Tamandua tetradactyla: one gene and its partners. The protein of the gene in region 1 binds, or shares a complex with, the protein of each later gene. Links are inferred from orthologs where the notes say so. Each region holds a gene or a part of one and is shown in the gene's direction. Other genes may lie near its edges.

Evidence for each region. Proteins that work in one complex are often made in the same cells at the same time.
Region 2: CDHR2 (region 1) and CDHR5 share a complex: the UniProt entries of both Homo sapiens proteins name them as parts of the IMAC/intermicrovillar adhesion complex. The link is inferred for Tamandua tetradactyla from reciprocal best matches to the Homo sapiens genes CDHR2 and CDHR5.
Region 3: CDHR2 (region 1) and MYO7B share a complex: the UniProt entries of both Homo sapiens proteins name them as parts of the IMAC/intermicrovillar adhesion complex. The link is inferred for Tamandua tetradactyla from reciprocal best matches to the Homo sapiens genes CDHR2 and MYO7B.

Annotation. Positions count from the first base shown.
Region 1 is NC_135346.1:58,010,608-58,014,349, forward strand, and holds the start of CDHR2 (cadherin-related family member 2), read left to right. Parts: upstream 1-1,209; 5' UTR 1,210-1,474; coding exon 1,475-1,576; exon of another isoform or gene 1,577-1,630; intron 1,631-1,668; exon of another isoform or gene 1,669-2,203; intron 2,204-3,742. UniProt on the Homo sapiens protein: Intermicrovillar adhesion molecule that forms, via its extracellular domain, calcium-dependent heterophilic complexes with CDHR5 on adjacent microvilli. Thereby, controls the packing of microvilli at the apical membrane of epithelial cells.
Region 2 is NC_135335.1:485,770-489,511, reverse strand, and holds the start of CDHR5 (cadherin-related family member 5), read left to right. Parts: upstream 1-1,410; coding exon 1,411-1,483; intron 1,484-1,719; coding exon 1,720-1,895; intron 1,896-1,978; coding exon 1,979-2,029; intron 2,030-2,439; coding exon 2,440-2,532; intron 2,533-2,632; coding exon 2,633-2,734; intron 2,735-2,868; coding exon 2,869-2,979; intron 2,980-3,060; coding exon 3,061-3,231; intron 3,232-3,441; coding exon 3,442-3,532; intron 3,533-3,612; coding exon 3,613-3,710; intron 3,711-3,742. UniProt on the Homo sapiens protein: Intermicrovillar adhesion molecule that forms, via its extracellular domain, calcium-dependent heterophilic complexes with CDHR2 on adjacent microvilli. Thereby, controls the packing of microvilli at the apical membrane of epithelial cells.
Region 3 is NC_135329.1:85,601,184-85,604,925, reverse strand, and holds the start of MYO7B (unconventional myosin-VIIb), read left to right. Parts: upstream 1-1,187; 5' UTR 1,188-1,308; intron 1,309-3,742. UniProt on the Homo sapiens protein: Myosins are actin-based motor molecules with ATPase activity. Their highly divergent tails are presumed to bind to membranous compartments, which would be moved relative to actin filaments.

The DNA of each region.
Region 1 (3,742 bases):
TTTCTAAAGACTTTTTATTATAAACTATAACATATATACAAAGAAAAGAAAGAGTTTTCAAAGTACATTTTTAACAAGTAGTTACAGAACAGATTCCAAAGTTTGTTATGGGTTACCATTCCACTAGTTCACATTTTTGCCTTCTGGCTGCTCCAAAACACTGGAGGCTAGAAGAAATATCGATATAGTGATTCAGCAGTCATGCTCATTTGTTAGACCCTATTTTCTCTGTTATAACGCCTCCTCTTTTGATCCTTCTCCCCATCTATAGGGATTTGGGGGCACTTCCTGTTCTTTGTGCGGATGAGACCCACCATAGGTTCTTATTGGCCCAGCCTTGCATCGGGTGCCCAAACCTGGCCAATCACAGTGACCAAAGGGATGCTGTGCTCTGACTGGCTGGACATGGGTCACATGACCGCCAGAGGTGGGGTGGAGAAAGGAGGGGTGGGGAGGCCCCCCAGAGGAAAACTTGGGTGCTGTTATCAGGGGGAGTGAGAATTGGTGCTGGCAGGCAGAGCATTAGGTGCTCCCTGCTAGGGAGTAGGGAAAACCTTCTGGGGGAGGGGGAGGCCTCCAGCCAGGGCAGCAATGAGGGGGGCCCTGGGAAGGTGAGGAGAGGCTGGGTAAGGGGTGGGGTTCCTCCGCCTCCCCTTTCCACGTGGCGGGTCCCTGGAGCTGGCGCAGCCATTTGTCCATCAGGGATAATTATAAGGGTACCTGCCTCTCCCTGGTGATAAGGGGAGTCAGTGAGAGCGTGATGTAAAGCACACCAAAGGTGCTCAATAAATGCAGACTCCCACTGCTGGAACACACAAGGACATCTCCCCCCAGGGCTTCCCTGGAGCTTGGGGGGTGGGAGGATGAAGTCAAAGTGTATTTGCAGCTCTTGGTCTGTTTTGGGACACCTGGGGCGCACTGAGCACCCGTCCTGGGCTGACTACCCCCAGTCCACCCGCACAGGTAGTGGTGGGGGAACCAGCACCTCAGGATCCAAACAGGAGGGTTTCAAAGGGAGAGGGGCAGTAACCTCTCTAAGCCATCCAGCCAGAAAGGGGCAGAAGGCTCGGGCTTCTGAGCTTGTCCCTAGGGCCCCCTCTGTCCTTTGTCAACCCAGGGGTCCTTGGGCCACTGTGGCAGGAGTAGAAGGAATTGGGGGCCTGGTACCTCAGGGAGGGTAGATACCCTGAGAAGACCTCAAGTCAAAGAGGGTGGATAATGACAGCTGTCGCAGCATTCACTGAGCCAGGCGTTAACATGCTTGATTGCTTCCCCATGCATCACGTGTCACTGAGGACTCTTGTGATTGAGAGGGGACTACGGGACCTGACTGTCACACTCGGACCATCCTCCTCCCAACTTCCTGCCTGACCCGGGGTTGGGCCTCAGTCCCGCCTCTAGCCCCCTCCTCAATTGGGTCGGGTCTCCTGAGGCATCAGCCCCACTCCAGGAGGTGCGGTCCCCGGCAGGGTTAATGATTGCCCAGGGAGGCGGGTATAGTGCCAAAGTCTGCCAGCTGAGCACCTGTGCCTGCCAGTGCCCACCTGCCGCCTCTGCGGCCCCTTCCGGGGCACAGGTAGGATCTCCGCAGCTCGACTGGGGCACGGTGGGGTCTCCTGGTCAGGGGGAGGTAGGCTGGGGCCAGTGGGGACCAACGTGAGCTTTGGGTGTCTTTCAGTGTCCCCTGGCAGCTGGGTGGGAGCCCCGGCCAGAGGGAGCCATTGCCCACCTAGGGTCTCAGGTTCTGCAAGGTGGGGTTAATGATACCTCCTTCCCAGGGTTCTGATGGCGCCCTTTCCTTCCAACTGCTTGGGTCACTGGACTCATGGAGGGTCCCGGATGAAGGGAAGTGGGGTTACCCCAAGGTCCCTTCTGGAGGAAGCTCCAGGCCAGGACTAAACTCTGGAATCACACCCACTGGGCTCAGGCCCCTTCCTGGGCCTGGCGCATCGCCTCACTATGGCGTCTGAGACAGAGACTCAGCTGACAGCCGGGGCCAGGCCTAGGCCACCTCCCTGAAGCAGGAACTTGAGGGATAGGGGCACCAAGTACAAAGCAGAGACTCAATCGACATTAAGGTCCAGCTGATTGAAACAGGCCGTGGCCGGTATGTGGACTTTGTGGTCCTTGTCATCGTCCCCTTCTCAGCAAGGGAAACTGAGGCACAGAGAGGAGAAAGGGCTTGCCTGGGGTTGCACGGCAGGTAAGTGAAAAGCTGGACTCTGAACCCAGGGCCATTTGACTCTTTGTGTGCTGGATGCAGCAGCCTGGGGGATGGGCACTGTAGGGGACCACAGTGGCAGGAAACCCAGCTCCCTCCCGGGTCCCCCATCCCTGCCACAGGCCACACTGGCTGGGTTTGTGCCTGGCTTGCCCAGAGACTCCTGGCTTTGGAGACAGGCTGGATTGAACACCTCTGTCCCTTGCTCTTAGGCTACCGTTTCTGACTTTCTTTGTGCCCCAGTTTCCTCACTGGAAACCCAGAAATATAATTCCTACCTGGGCAACAGTTTTGGGAAATCAGTGAGAAAATGGAAGTGAAAGTGTGCAAGGAGGAGGCACATCCCTCTCTGCCCTCCCGGAGGCTCTGGGCAGGCCTGGTGGGGGGGGGGGGGGGGGCGTCTCATTCCCAGAGATTCCAGATTGTAATAGGAGGTCTTAGAGCCACACAGTATTTAGACTGTGGTTGACATCACCTCTCAGCTGAGACTGAGGCACCAGCACTTCCCTGGGCAGGCAGGGCTGCACCTTGGGCCCCGTGGTCAGGGTGTGTCTGCCCCTTCCAAGCCAGATACGGTTCCCAGGAGTCTGAATGCCTCAGGCAGACAGGGTGGGCAACGGGTGGGCGCCCAGAAGCCACCCTGATTTCACCCCTGTGTTCATTTCGGAAGCTACTCTTTGAAAGCGGGGAGTGGGGTGGGAATTGGGGATAGGAAACTGTCATCTCTAGAACGTAGATTGTCCCCATGTTTTAGAGGGGCAGACCGAGAGGCAGAGTGGTGGGCAGTGACTGGGGGCTGGAATTGATGTGCCTGTCACTTCAGTCCCAGACCTTGGCCTGAGGAGGAGAAAGGGGTCCCTCAGAGCTCCCTGGGGGGTGGCAGAGACCTGGGAAAGGGGCTTCCATGGCTTTGTCAAGACCTTTCCCCAGGACCAGTCCATGGTGAATTCCATTCACTGATTTTTCGTTCCTAGTTACTCTGTCCTTAAGCCTGCTGGGGAAGGGAGGTGGGGATGAACAAGGCAGGTCTAGCACTGCGCCTTGCTGGGTTGAACCTTACAGGATGGAAAGAATTTGCACACATGTGGGAGGCAAGGGAAGGCGTTCTGGGCAGAGGAACGGAACACGCAAATGCAAGGAGGGAGGAAAGTGTGGGGTGTGGATGAGCACAGGAGCTTTAGACGCCACTGGGCCACAGTGGGGAAAGGAGAGAAGCTTGGGAAAGAGAGGCCAGGGTCCGTGAGACTCTTGCTGGCCAGGCTGAGAGCAGTAGTGTGTCCTGTTGCCAGTGGGAGCTATGGGAAGGTTTGAGCTTTGGGGATGACTCGGTCCAATGAGGTTAGAAGGCTCATTGGGCTAGTTCGTCCTTATACCTCCCCCAGCCCACGTGGGCGCTGTACGTTTTTTCTCAAGTGACTGAACACAAGGGATGACGCTTCTGGACTGTAGAACTTTGGCCTCATTATGATTAAATGAGCATGTTTGGGAAAAGGCTCTCTGACAAAGAGGAGGCAAGATAGC
Region 2 (3,742 bases), on another chromosome or scaffold:
CTCCGGAGCCCACCCCGCGCGGCGCCTGGGTCCCCGGGGCAGCCCCAGCCCTAGGCAGTGCTGACCCCTCTTCTTCCCGGTTCCTTCTTCCTTCTCGCCAGCATCAGCGCCACCTCCCTCCCCTCCGGGAGCTCCCCTACCGGGAGTCCCCTACGCACCCCCAGCCGTCCACTAGGCAGTGCAGGGGTAGGAGGCTGCGGACGCCCCCTCTCAGGGGCCATGTGAGCAGGAGTGGAAGGAGTGAGGGGCTCGCTGGGGGCTGAGAGGCTGTGGGGCCGAGGGGACCGGCTGGTGGTCCCCGCGCCGGCCTGCTGATGCCTCCCAGCCTGGGCGCCGGGCCGGCCATGATGCCTCCTGGGGACAGGGTCACAAAGCAGCGTCAGGGCCAGGAGCAGGCAGTGACCCCATCAGCAAAGAGAAAACCGAGTGCTGCTGGGTTAGGGAGCAGCTGGTACGAGGCCTGGGGGCGTGAGCTCCATCTCTCCCCTCTTCTTGACAACTCCCCTCCCTGTTTCACCTCATGGTCTCTCCACAGCTGCTGACCTCAGGACTTGGGGAGGGGGGATTTGATGGCCAAGGAGGGACGGCAGCAGGTGGGGGGGAGACCCAGGGTCCCTCCCCAGGAGCTCAGCTGTCCTGTCCCATCGCTCTGTCCCCTGCAGAGCCCACCTAGAAGCAGCTGAGTTGTTTCTGGCACTGGAGGTGTAGGAACTCAGAGCCTTTCCCCCTCAACCTGGGGAGCTGGACTGCCACTGCGACCTCAGGAACTTTGAGAGAGACCTTAGGAGACTAGAGACAAGTAGAGGGCAGGCTGGGGACTGGGGACAGGGGACACACCAAACTCAGAGGACAAAGGCATGGCTGCTGCCCTTGCTCCTGCCCCAGCCCCAGCCCCCGCCCCTGCCCCAGCCCCAGCCCCTGCCCCAGCCCCAGCCCCTGCCCCTGCCCCAGCCCAGGCCCAGCTCCTGCCCCTGCCCCAGTCCCAGCCCAGGCCCAGCTCCTGCCCCTGCCCCAGCCCCTGCCCGAGCCCCTGCCCCTGCCCCAGCCCCTGCCCCAGCCCCTGCCCCAGCCCCAGCCCCTGCTCCTGCTCCAGCCCCAGCCCCTGCCGAGCCCCCGCCCCCGCCCCCGTCCCCGCCCAGGCCCAGCTCCTGCGAGCAGGTGTGGATCCCCTTTCCCCCACTCTGTGTCCCGGCGTCTGTGCACTGTCTTCTCCCCGGAGGCCCCCGCCCCCCCTGCCCGGCACGAGGCCCCACTGGAACTGGCTGGCGGAACCGCCTTGGCGGAGACTGGAAGTAAAGGGCCATAAACCGGGGCGGCGCCTGGCAGGGGCGAAGGTCGCCGAGGCTGCGCCAGCTCAGGCCGCCCAGGGTTGGCGCCAGGCACCACCGGGACCCTCCTGCGGGGCGCGCCATGGGCGCTGGGGTCCTGCTGCTGCCGCTGCTGGCGGGGCTGCTGGGCGGAGCCCCTGGCGTCGGGGCCCAGGGTACGGCGGGGTCCCGGGTGGCCCGGAGCGGGGGTCCGAAGAGGCCGGGCGCGGGGTGCGAGGCGCGGGGTTCCAGGGTCCGAGGTAGCGGCGCGTGGGGGTCGGGCGTCCCGGGCGGCGGGGCGCGGGGTTCCGGGGTCGGGGGCGGGGAGGCGCGGGGTCCGGGGTCTGCGGCGGCAGGGCGCGGGGGTCCGGGCACCCAGCCAGAGCACCCACCCTGCACTCCCATCGCGCAGCCTGCTCGGTGAATCAGACGTTCTTCGAAATCGAGGAGAACAGGAATTGGACGGAGCCCCTGGTGGACATCTCCGTCCCCCCGGACCAACAGGTGACCCTGGGGCCCTCTTCCACCCCGGGCGCATTTCAGATCATGGAGGACCGGCTGTTTCTCACCGTGACCCTGGATTACGAGGTGCCGGTCCAGGCAGGGCAGGGCGAGCCCCTGGGGGGCCTCCATGGAGTGCCCGCGGGTGACCCCCGCCCTCTGGCCCGCAGACGCAGCCGCTGCTGCAGGCGCACCTGGAGTGCAAGAGGGGGGGCGCCGTGGTAAGTGCCGCCGGGCTGGGCTGGGGTCGCCCCGCGGTGGGGAGCGGCCCCCAGCCCCGCCCCGCCCCCCATCCCCCGCCCCGACCTCCCTGGAGCCCACTGCCCCCGCATGGCCTTCAGGACCCGCCTGTCCCGACGCCCGGCCCCGCCCCCCCGCCTCCGCGGGCCCCTCTGCTCGTCACCCTCTTCCTGGACCTGCGCCCCCCCTCCTCGGGGGCTTTGACGAGGCCCCCCGCAGCCCCTGACCCTGCTTTAGTTATTTTTTAACCTTTTCTTGGGATCATTTCAAAGGTAGGAAGTTGAGCGGAGGTAGGAGCCCGGCTCCGCCCTCCCGCCTCCCCAGGTCCCCCGCGAGCTGCGCCCCCCACGGCCCGCTCCCGGGCACCTGCCCACACCGCGCCCGCCCGCAGGTGACGCAGCTGCGCGTGTTCGTGTCGGTGCTGGACGTCAACGACAACGCGCCGGTCTTCCCCTTCCCCAACACGAGCGCGAACGTCAGCGAGGTGAGCGGGGCGGGGGTAGAGGGCGCGGGGCCGGGCGGGGCGCAGGGCGGGCGGCCGGGTCGTGCGCGCATGGCGCGGGAACGCGGCCCTTTCTCGCCAGGACGCGAAAGTGGGCTCCATTGTCATCCCGGAGACAGACCTGGAGGCCAAGGACCCTGACAAAGACGACATCTTGTTCTACACCCTCCAGGAAGAGACCCTGGTCCGTGCTGCCCACCCCCCCTCCGGCCCCCCCACTCCCCCCCACCTCTTGACTCCCCCCCACCCCCACCGACTCCCCCACAAGCTGCTCTGCCTCCTCCCAGAGTCTCAGGCTGCGCCCCCCCCCCCCCGCAGGGTGCCAGTCACTTCTTCTCCCTGGTGGGTGCCAACCGCCCCGCCCTGAGGCTGGACCAGCCACTGGACTTCGACAGGTGGCCGGCCATGACGTTCCGGCTGCTGGTGCGGGTGAGCAGCCCCCCACCTCCCGTGCCCCCACTGAGCCCCAGCCCCAGGCACCCGGCCTGAGCTGCGGGGACGCTGTTACAGGACACCCCGGAGGAGGGCGCCCTGCCCGGCCACACCGCTATGGCCACGCTGACCCTGAAGGTCCTGCCTGCCGACCTGAGGCCCCCCTGGTTCCTGCCCTGCGTCTATGCGGATGCCCACGTCTGCCTGCAGGCCCAGTACCAGGGCGCCGTGCCCACAGGGCAGCAGCTGGTACAGCGGGCAGCGCTGGCCGGGTGTGCACAGTGGCTCCCGTCAGCGGGCCAGGGTCAGGGCTGCGACCATCTCCATGGTGGTCATTTTAAAACAAATATACAGGGCCCTTCGTGAGGCGTCTCCCCAGCCAGGCAGTGGCAGGGGGTTGGGGAGCGGCATGGGGGGGTCACCAGCTCAGCCCCCACCATCGCTCTGTGGCCCCTGCAGCCCGACCCTCTCACCCTGCGTCCGGGACCCATCTACGCGGTGGACGGGGACCGGGGCCTCAACCAGCCCATCGTCTACAGCATTGTGGACGGTGAGTGGCCCCCACCTCGGCAGAGGGCACCCCGGCCTACCTGCCAGGGTCCGGCTGAGCCCGCACCCCCCACCCCCCAGAAAACAGCGATGGGATATTCACCATCAACAGGACGTCGGGGAACCTCACCATGGCCAGGGGCGCCCCCAGACCCATGACCTTTCACCTACTAGTCAAGGTGCGGTGGTGCGGGCGGGGCGGGGGCTCCCG
Region 3 (3,742 bases), on another chromosome or scaffold:
GCCAACCCTGAAGTTTTTAAAAAAGAAGCCACGTATAGTATGAAACTCGCAAAAGCAAGGGTTGGCCCAGAAACTGGATGAGATTTTAGGTGGCTGAAAGGCTCAGCACACACAGTTTCCTCCAAATGGTCCTTCGTTAAGCGTCTCCCAAGTTGCTTCCGTAACTTTGTCATGGGCTGAAAAAGGGTAAACAGAAACTCCTTCGAGCCGGTTCAACAAAGGAACATTTGGTATCAGGTGCCTGGGGTCTCCACGCAGTCCAACCACAAGAAGTACAGGCAGCTGTGGGGCAACCATAGTCCTGCCTCCTCTGGGTCCTCCTGGCCAAACCCTCTGCCGCCAGCTTCTCTTTCTCTCTCCCACCAGTTCCCCCCTACATGCCCAAATTCCAGGTGGCTGGCCCTGCCTTGGCCTGAACTAGACCTAAAGGATGATGGCTTGTCCTGTGCCATCTCCCTGCAGCGCCTATGTTCTTTCCAAGACCTGAGACACAGGCAGAATCTGACTGGCTCAAGTTGGGCCAACTGGATGGACCACCAAAGACCCTCTTCACTCAAGGAAAAGGCTGCGGGCTGAGCAGGTATCTCTGATGCACTCATTTTCCGTCTGTCTTCAAAGCTGGGTTGCCAGTCACCCTTCCCATGTACTTGTAGGGACTGTCTCAGGTCACATGGGGCCATACCACCATGATGCCTTGCCTTTTAAGAGCGGTCTGTATTTGCCTCAGAGCTCAAATCCCCCTCCTTTCAAGTTCTAGCCCAAGCCCACCCATCTCTGCTCCCAGGGACCCCTGCTGATGGCTTTTAACTCTCTCTTATATAAGGCCTGCTGCCTGCCCCAGGCACTTCCTGTCCATGTACCCCCAATTAGAATGTCGGCTTCTTGGGGCCTCCCAGACACCTGGGAAGATGCTGAGGCCTCCCCAACAGGATTAGCTGATTGTCACCATGGGATCTGGCTGGTGGCCAGAAGCAGAGGCACAGAGGGCGATCCCCAGGCCTCCAGGGAAGGGAACAGCCCCTCCCTGCTGTAGGGCCCTGGGTTAAAGATCAGACACATGGGGCTCTGAGGGCTGGGGCTGCAGGAAGCAGGTGGGAGGGAGGGGATGTGCCTGGAGACCGAGGACAAAGTCCTGTAATAAATTACGTGTACCCAGAGGGCTTGGCCATTTCCTCTTCGGGCCCATCCCCCTCCCTCACTCCCTGACACACCTGAAGCCTGAGGCTGCCACCAGGCCACTCTCCCCTGCCCTCTTAGAGTGCTAACGGTGGAGGAGCAGGGAGTCAGCGAGACCTCTGTCCTGACAAGGTAAGAGAGCACCATGCCTGTGGGCCACTAGGCACCCACATTCTGCCAGCTCCGGGAAATGGTTAGGAGTCCCTGCTCTGGAATCATAGGCCTGAGGAAGAGCTAAGGGACTCACCCTGAAACAAGATGGGAGAAAGTCAGGAGCCCAGGGCTCATTTCCCCGGGATGGCAAGGCCCCTGAGGGCTGAGGAGAAGGGAGGAGAAGCTGGCCTGGCTGGACACTGTGGGGGGCAGACTCCCAGGCAGAGGGATGTGGGCGCCTGGCCTGGCAGCCTCTGCTCATAGACGGAGTTCTTACCGCTGGATCCCAGGGTGCCTAGTATAGGCTGGCTACCAAGAAACTGGGCACTGTGCCCATGCCAGCTGCCTGAGCGGTCCCAGGCTGTGGGGTCTTGATTCCTATTTTGTGCTCGAGGAAGTGGGGGATGGTGGACCAGAAACAGGGCCAGGGTTCAACTTCAAAGCTCACCTGACATGCCTGTCATCTCTGAGATGTCAGCAGAAGGGCGTCCCTATTCCTATTTGGCAGAGGAGGAAATTGGAGTCACAAGGGCAGGGTTGTTCCCCTGAAGTCAAAGCTGGCAAGACTGGAGCCGGATCCTAAATCAGTAGGTGTATCTCCAGGATCACTCCTCTTCTCAGGCTCCACTTCTATCTCTGGGCTTGAATTTTGTCCTAACCTATAAAACCACTTGAACCCAGTTTAGGATTTCAGGTTCAAGAAAACCCAAAATCTTTCTTCGGCATGACCATAGCCGAGCATATGGCTCTCTCTGCTCGGATGACACCTCCCCAGGGCTCTTTGGGATGAACCACTCTGTTCTCCCTCAGGAAGCCCCCTCCATCATTCAGATCCAGGGGTTCCCTGCTGTAAAATTCTCAGAGGCCACGTCTCAGGACTTGCTGTCTGTGTCTGAGCAGGAAGGCAGCCTCGCGGGTATGTGCAGGCAGAGACCCCACCCCTACATGTCTGTTTGGGGGCAGAGACCCCCAATGTCTGTGCTGGCAGACACTCCCACCACCATGTGACTGTGAGGGCAGGGTCCCCCGTGTGTGTGTGTGTGTGTGTAGGAGGAGCTCCCCATCTCCATGTGTGTTTGGGGTGGAGACCCCCAATATCTATGCTGGAGGGGACCCTCACCCCTGTGTGACTGTGTGGTCAGGACTTGTGTGTGTGCAGGGGGAGCTCCCTACAACTAATGTCTGTGCTGGCAGGGACCTCCCCTCCCCTGTGTATTTGTGATGGAGACCCCCAGTGTCTGTGCTGGTGGTGACCTCCGTGTGTCTGTGTGGGCAGAGACTCTAACTGTCTTGGGCACTGCTGCAGCCTCATGGGCTCCCGCAGGGGGTAGCAGCCTTGCCAGAGAGGAGACACAGCAGGTGCAAACATTTCCCAGGTACACCACTGAATTTGCATAACTTCAGGTTTTCCATGTCTTAAGATGGCTCTTGCTTCCACATTCTCTCAATCCGCATAACAAGTCACTTGAGGAGGAAAAGCAGGAGCTCTTGTACATTTTACAAAAGAGGACATTGACATGAAGGAGGATAGAATGACTTGCCCATGGGTACACAGTGGCCACTGGACTAGAAGCTCCTTGAAGAGTTGGGCTGGACTGTTCAGATATTTCTCTGTCCCCTGCACCTACCTGTCCAGAGTTTGGGAGGGAATGGGCACTCAGCAAATTAATGGTGTTGGGATTGAATCATGTCCCCTCAAAAGGCATGTTCAGGTCACAAGTCCTGGTCCCATGGGGGTGAACCCATTTGTAAATGGTTAAGCTGTGTCCCAAATGAATAAGGGTGGACCTTAATCCTATAAGGCTGAAGTTCTTATAACCATTGGTAATTGGACATGAAAAAGAGAAGTCACAGGGAGTAGCCAGGAGCTGAAAGTCAAAAGAACACAGAAGAGAAAGGAGAAGACGCCTCCATATGCATTGTCATGTGACAGAAAAGCCAAGGAACCCTAGATATTGCCAGCCACCCAGAACATACTGACCAGGAAGAAAGCAAAGCTCTGTAACCATGAGCCAATATCATCCTGTTGTTAAGCCAACCCATTATACACTATTTGCTTTGGCAGCTAGGAAACTAAAATAGTCCTTGGAGCTGGTTAAACTGAAGTTCTGCTATAACAAATAACTAACAATGTGGAAATGTCTTTGGAATTGGATAATGGGTAGAGGCTGGAAGAATTGTGAGGCACTTGATAGAAAAGGCCTAGACTGTTTTGAAGACACTGTTGTTAGAAAAATGGATATTGAAGTAACTTCCAATGAGGACTTTGATGGAAATGATACATGTGTTATTGGGAACTGGAGGAAAGATGATCCTTGTTATGAAGGGTCAGAGAACTTGGCGAAATTGAGTTCTGGTGTTGGATGGAAGGCAGAACTTAAAAGTGATGAATGTGGGGACTTCCGGAGAAGAT